Schizosaccharomyces pombe: one gene and its partner. The protein of the gene in region 2 interacts with the protein of the main gene of each other region in a pairwise test. Each region holds a gene or a part of one and is shown on either strand. Other genes may lie near its edges. The genes, in order: isp3 and SPOM_SPCC663.09C.

Region 1 (3,746 bases), on a different chromosome or scaffold from region 2:
AAATTTTGATTAAATTTATCTGGTATATATATATTATTAGTATGTATTATCCTATTCGGTAATAATCCGCTATGTCGGATAACTTTAAATAGATAAGCGGCACCCGCAACTTAACCATCAACGACCTGTTTGGGCTGTTAGTAATAATTATTTATTCTGGATCGATTTAGCTTTATTGGTTTGGTAAGCTAATACGTAGTAGTAAATTTTTCGCCTTCAAGATTTTTACAACGCCAACGAAATAATTATAGTTCAACTATTCCTCCAATTTTGACCTACTGTATAAATATAGTGGGAAAAATTCAGTAATCACTATTGGCTTAGTTTGAGGGAATTTTAAACCACAGCTCTATTAGAATAATAGTAACATTAAATTCTTTCTTTTTTAGGGAACTTCGGTTTTCTTTGTACTTCGTGCAAATAAAAAATGCCGAATTTATAATTCTAAAACTTAGTGACAATTGAATTTTTTTTAAATGTTTCTATATTGTTAAGCAATAAACGACTTTAAGCTTTTCATTAAGCGAATGAGATTATTTTACCCAACTTATATTAATATAGGATTGATCACCACAAACGTTAAATAAAGTTGTCAGTATCACGCTTACGAATCCAACGTTTTTAAAAACACATCTAATATCATTTCGTCTCTCCTTATAGTAATAAAATTTTTAAGCGTATACGGCTATTAACCAAGTGATCCTTTCTAAAATGTTTCCATCACTTTCTGTTGAACTTCTGTTATTATTGCTCATAAGTTTTAAAGATTTTATAATATTATGGTGAAGAGCTGTTTGAATAACGAATCACCGAAATTTACTATAAAGTTGACCTCACCACTTTTGCTTTCAAATCGAATAGACGACTGAACTAGCTCGTTATAGTCTATTTTGTTATTTAGAAAAATTTTAAGGATATGCAATTGTAAAACCTAATGCTGAGTGTAATGTGGTGAAGTCAATATACAACGTTGTGATATTATTTCAGAAAAATTTAATTCAAACTAACCATATAACATCCTTAACCGAATTGTTTTTCTATCGAAATCAGCTTATAGGGCATGACTGTATTTACAAACTTTATGTTATACTAGAAAAATTATTGTTACAAGACATGGGCTATCTTAGTAACATATAAGAACCATAACCAGATAGTCACAAGATGTTCATAAAAATAATCAATTTGACATAAAAACAAAAAATCACTTTGCTAAACGTAAACACAAGGAATAAATTCATAACAATTAACAATTTTGAAAATTTTTATATCTGATTGCCTCAGAAAACGAAAATCTTTCTTCAAAAAGCCAACCCAATAATCGAATATTTTGTATATATTTGATGTATTTTATGCGATACAGTTAAAGATAGCCTACAACTTGTGTTCATGATGCGAACATTTGCCTTAAGCAAATGTTTTCAGAATCAGAGAAGACGTACTTAAAGAATTTAAAAAAGTAAACTAATTAAATGCAAACAAAACAATGATCCTTAATTCCATGTATAGCATAATAGAATTTGTGGTTGTTCGTCACAGTGTAAACAAAAAACGGCTAGTGTAGTAATCTTTACGCCCACGATTATCCCGTCGGCATCGAAACACTAACTTGACGAACAAAGGCACTAAGCAATCTAACCAATAAACCTCTAGGAATTGAATTTACATTAATGCTTTGCTTGAACGTAAACAATTGAAGCTTTGCGATTCGTGCCTTTATCAACGTATTTTTTTTCTTTTATGGGGACTTATAACTCTATTTTTAAAAATATTTTGTTTTAGCCAATCATGAAACTCCAAAAATGATTATACGTCATTTTTTTTAATAAACAAAACATGTGTTTATGCTGAAAGCATCCACTGTAAACAAAAAAAAAACTATATAAGAAAGGGGAAATTCCAACTTTTAATTCAGTTCTTACCATTTCTTTTTACTCACTTAACTAGAAATCGGTTTTTTTAAAAAAGAAAACTACAGGAGCAGCCATCAATCAAAGCATTTCTTCTTCAGAATACAGGGAAAGTCATTTCAACTTTTCTATCTTTAAAAGTATTTTTTTGAATTTTCTGTTCAAAAAAATCACACAAAAGTCTAACTTTAGTAAAACTTTTCAGCTTTAAAAATGGGTCTCGGAAATTTGTGCTCTTACAAGCAAGATGATAGCTTAGATATTTTGCAAAAGAAGGTTTTAATTGATGCCTTTAACAAAGTTACTATTGATGGAAAGCCCAATGTCCAACATCAGCAGCCAACTTACTGGTATCCTCCTCCTCCTCCTCGTCATCACAAGGAACACAAAAAATCTCACCATCATTGGGAATATAGCAGTGATGATGATAGCAGTGATGATGAGGAGTCCTGTGAGAAGAAAAAACCCAAATGCTGTGAGAAGAAGAAACCCAAATGCTGTGAGTCTGAACAGAACAACGGTTGCGGTCGCAGAAACCAACTTGCAAGGCGCTTAGCATTTCTGGGTAGCTTTGGTGATGGTGACTGCGATGGCTGTAACGAGGCTTTTACCGTTACTGGTCCCATCACATATTTCAGAACCTGCCCTGATCCACTCACAGGTATAACCCCAGCTGTAGCTGCTGCAGCTGCTACTCCGGCGGCAGCTGCTACTCCTGCTACTCCGGCGGCAGCTGCTACTCCTGCTGCTCCTGCCGCATAGAGCAAAAATGCCCTTTATGCAAGGAAATAGAGTATTGCTGTTATCCAAATTGAGATAAAGACATTATACCATGGAAAGCACCATAACTATCAAAAACTCCCTAAGCTACTCTTGAATGTTAAAGCGGTTTCGATTACTTTCGGAGCAACGTTGTTTGTCAGTAGTTACTTACAAAGTGCATCTGGCGTTTTGAAGTTGACTTTAAGGAGTCGAAAATTTGAGATTTTGGAAAAGATAATGGCAAAATCCATTTTAACGTGGAATCCAAGTCTGTATCAGACAACACACTTTTATCAAAATAACTAATTTCCCACCTTTCTTTAGTTATACTTGCGCGCTGGGTTTTTGTCTTTTAGATAGATGTAGGCTACTCGTGTTGATGTTCACGGAATAAAATTGAGGCTGCTCTTTTTTTTTTATACAGTGTACCTTTTCGTATGTTTAATTTGTTTGTCCATGATTATTTGTAAATTAAAAAATGTGGTTGAATTCGTTAGTTGGTATGAAAGCGTTAAATATAAGACTATACTAAGAAATGAGATATGCGTAAGTGGTCGCAAAACACAGTACAATAAACAAATTCTGTAGAATTAGATTCAGCAACCAACTTAATAATTAATTCAACATCCAAAGATTTTTACTATTCAAGTTTAATCAATTAATTTACCCAATCAAGCTTCCTAAGTACGATAAAATATAAAGTGCATAAATGATCGGATTGTAGTATTGCTTAGAGAAACTACTTAGAGGTTTATATGCCATTCAGTAATTGAACATATTTGATTTAACTATTCAGCGGTTAACATTATTGAACCAACCATAAAATAAAATCAGTTTTCCTTAATATGATACGTTATTCTGCAACCTTTATTCAATTAACTTCTTTCGGCTGAAAGGATACTAAAAACATCCGCAGGTCATTTCTCAAGCTATTGAGCACACCTAACTAAGCACGAAGGTTAATACGACATTATATTGAGAACTTGATATTAAGTACCAGATTCAAACTAATAATCAAATTTATTATAGCTGAAACAATTCACAATAACATTTTACCCTTTAATAATTCAGATGATT
Region 2 (3,986 bases):
GCCATAAGCAGATTGACTTGAAGGGAAGAAAGCTCCCATGGATCCAGCTAATGATGAAGTAAAAACAATGATTTTAGATCTTCCTTTTTTTATAAGAGGATAAAAGGCTTGGTAGACATGAATTGGTCCTAAAACATTGGTTTTATAGTGAGAGTTCCAGACATCATCAGGAGTATTTACGACAGGACCAAAAGAATGGAAAACGGCTGAATTTACCCAGAGAACATCCACTGCATCAACTACTTTTGTAACTTCTTGAGCGGCTTCATTGGCACTCTCTAGAGAGGAGACATCTAACTTAATAATGTGCACATTGGAATGAGACTTGCTCCATTCTTGTAATTTAGTAGCAGCTCCAGGCTTGCGGGCACTTGCAAATACAACTGTTCCTTTTCTGTTGCTCAATTCCTTAACAAGAGAGAGTCCAATGCCTCGATTTCCTCCTGCAATAAAGTAAATTTTGTTGGTAGTAGACATATTCTAACACAATGTTTGAATGATCCTTGAATCCGTTTGAAAAGTGGATAATTTGGTGTCGGCAATTTATCATCAACTTCATGCTTATATACCAATTCTTCAAATCATTATGCTTACGTGATTTGAACCGTGAATTTTGATGCTTACATAATTGAATATACTCAGCGACAAGTTCATAAAAATTCATCGTATAGAACTTATTGTACTTTGTATTAGAAGACAATATAAATACATTTACAACCTATTTAGACGGTTTTTTAAACATATTCCCTTAATTCCGCTTTAATAAATTAATCAATTTCAGTTAAATTATTCTTCTGTTTCTGGTTTCTTTGACAAAGCATCATATAGATGATATGTATTTGAAGTTACTCACATGAGAATGCTGAGTTGCCAGTCGTATAGAAAAGCTTTAAATTGGGTACAAACAAACGACTCTTTAAATTGCTCCACCAAAAAATAAATTTATAAAAAAACAAGATAGCCGTAAGATGATCGATCACTCGGGAGTCATTTTTTGGACGATAAGCCTTATACGAATGAATACTCAAATTTGTTACATGAAACACATCTTTTAGATGTCCATGCTCACTAAATAGTTATGTTAAGCTTTTTTAAAGTTCTGAAGGCTTGTAAATATTTGTAAGGGCATGTAAATTCAACAAAAAAGAACGATTGTTTGAACACAACATCGTGCTGTAATCTAGACTGCAAAAACATCTTTAAAAAGGGGCATCAAAACCATCATGACTAACAAAAGATATGTCTAAAAGGGAATAATGGTCCCGTCATATCTATAAAAAGACCCGTTGTTTTCGGGTTTCAAATTGTCAACCACCTTAAGCATGGATGAAACGCTTTCTTCGGGTATGATAGTAACCTTTTTTAAGTAAGTCAGCATCTCGGGAGATGTTTCAGTAAATTTTTTGATAGCATCAGCATTCATATCAGTCTTTACTACTCCAGGATGAATGGAAATGAATGTGAAGTGTTCATCAGCTAGTTCGACACTAAGTTCCTTCATAGTGAAATTGATTGCTGCCTTGGACTGACCGTAGGCAGAGAATCCAGTAGCACGAAAGTCGCCCATTGAGCCGCATTCACTGGAAGTAAAGATAACCTGTCTGGTTTTTTTCTTTGTCAACAACGGATAAAAAGCTTTGAACACATGGATAGGTCCTAAAACATTGGTTTGATAATGAGCATTCCAAACTTCTTCAGGTGCTTCCATAACTGTATAGTAAGATTGACAAATACCAGAGTTCAACCAAAGAACATCAATTCCATCGACCGCCTTCGCAACGCTTTGAGCAGCTTCATTGGCACTCTGCTGAGATGTGACATCTAATTCAACAGTTTTAACATTAGGATGAGATTTGCTCCATTCTTGTAATTCAGTAGCAGCTTCGGGTTTGCGAGCACTCGCAAACACAGTCGTTCCTTCTCTACTGCTTAACTCTTTGACAAGAGAGAGTCCAATACCACGATTTCCTCCTGCAATAAAGTAAACTTTGTTGGTAGTAGCCATCTTTATAGTACAATCTCAAAGTCGTTTCTCAATTAGTTTTTGGTTAATAGTAACTGACACTTCCTTGGTGTTTTGCTGTACTTTTATTGATAAGGAGTGTTTGTTCGCTATTTCGTTTACGTGTGAAGAGCTGTGACATTTTGCACACGTTTGATTTTCTCAACCAAAAGCGTCAAATTTCATTCTACAAAATTCTATCGGTATTTGCTGCTTGATATTAACAGTCTTTTTATATGGGACTTGCATAAAATAAAAAAAGTAGAAGCCGTGTTAATTAATGAAATCGAAAATTTTGATTGTAGAGCGTAGTAAAGGATGAAAAAATTTTAAGAACTACTTTTCCTCGTTTTTGAAATCTTCCGGTAGAAAGAACTTGTCAGATTATAATAAAACAACTACAGAATCTATCTCATACATACATCGAAGCTGCAATTTTTTCTCAGGTTACTGGTTCACCTCTTAGGTCAATTTGCTCTACCAATTTAAACCCTCTGTAAGATAATATTTTTGTTGAGGAGAAAGAGAGAATCGTATATAGAGTGTCTTAGTAAGATTATATGACATGAAGTTTTACAGCATCTCAAGATTAGGCTTCTTTACGACTATATGACCAATACAAAATGGATGGAAATTTGCGAATAAAAAAATTCGCAAAGTTTACCTTATGGAATTAATATTTACCTGTTTACTCATTTGAAAGGAGCTTAGACCCTTAAGTTCCCCTTTAGCAATTCCTGAACTCATGGAAATGCTAGTTAAACTTTGAGCAAACCATTTATTCAATCCTTTCTCCCTTTTTACTACAGGAAAAGACACAGATTCAAATGTTTTTGAAATCTCCAACGCATCCGTATTTTATTTAACGTATATTAAGCGTTCCTTAAACATGCTTAAAATTAAGCGCTAGAGTTTCCGACATTTTTTTTTCTGCTAACAGTACTTTCGTACTTGTTCAATTGAAAGGTTTTTGCGCATTGCATTTATGAAGGTTCCTGCGTATTGGAAGCCGCGAGAACCAAAAAATGCTTTGACATGTGATCCACCTGTTCCTTATGACTTGCAGTCATCTTACCAATGGCAATCCATTTTGGAGCACGATACCTGCTATGCAGCTGAGGTATTTGACAAAATGATGATAGAATTAGTCTATCATCCAGAGCGGACAAGCAGTGTTATCATGCGAACAGACATAATTCTTGATTCTCAAGAGGATGATTCAATTCTAAACAAGCAGAAATCAGTTTTCGAAAATCTTGACGAAAGGTACCAAATTTCAAGGTGGATCGATCGTCGAATTATTCCTCGTAATACTAATTTGGATGCGACAATGGACCAAACGGTTGTTGTGCTACATGAGAAGCTTGAAAATGATCGTATATTAATGTACTTACCTCACCTGGACAAAAGTTTGGAACAGCCCTATAATCATCTTCCATACTATCATCCCGCAGTAGCTGGAATTGCTTTTCATTACAAAGGATCAAGTGTTGAGGTTTTATATTTAGTAGAAAAGGATTTTCAAAGGGAATTGTCTTCCCGTTTATTGCGAACAGCTCATATGCTTTTACTTGTTTTACACAAGCATTGCAAGGGGGCAGTGGAAGGGTACCAAAAACGCATGCTTCACGACACTGTTGTGGAAAGAAACAAGTTTCAAGATACCTATGTTATTCTGAAAGATAAATACGCCAAGCAACTTGTTGACAATTGGGTAGAAAAAACGGATCCTGGTAAACACGTTTTCGAAGATTTGGCTATTGCAGCATTTCTTATAGAATTGTGGAAACAAACTTATTCATCAAACAAAGAATTTAGTTTTGTTGATGTTGGTTGCGGAAATGGTTTACTTGTTTATCTGTTGTTAATGGAGGGCTATAATGGATATGGCTTCGACGCTAGAAAAAGAAAATCATGGGAGACATATCCCCTTTGGGTTCAAGTAAAGTTATACGAAAAAGTTCTTGTACCCTATTTTCTGCAT

Evidence for each region.
Region 1: the proteins of SPOM_SPCC663.09C (region 2) and isp3 interact in a two-hybrid assay, tested with the Schizosaccharomyces pombe proteins (one large-scale study listed by BioGRID).

The regions. Positions count from the first base shown.
Region 1 is NC_003424.3:93,880-97,625, forward strand, and holds isp3 (protein isp3), read left to right. Parts: upstream 1-1,910; 5' UTR 1,911-2,120; coding exon 2,121-2,669; 3' UTR 2,670-3,087; downstream 3,088-3,746.
Region 2 is NC_003421.2:1,648,285-1,652,270, forward strand, and holds SPOM_SPCC663.09C (dehydrogenase), read right to left. Parts: upstream 2,057-3,986; 5' UTR 2,006-2,056; coding exon 1,244-2,005; 3' UTR 756-1,243; downstream 1-755. Other genes in the region: SPOM_SPCC663.08C (short chain dehydrogenase ), read right to left, coding at 1-477; trm44 (tRNA (uracil-O(2)-)-methyltransferase), read left to right, coding at 2,988-3,986.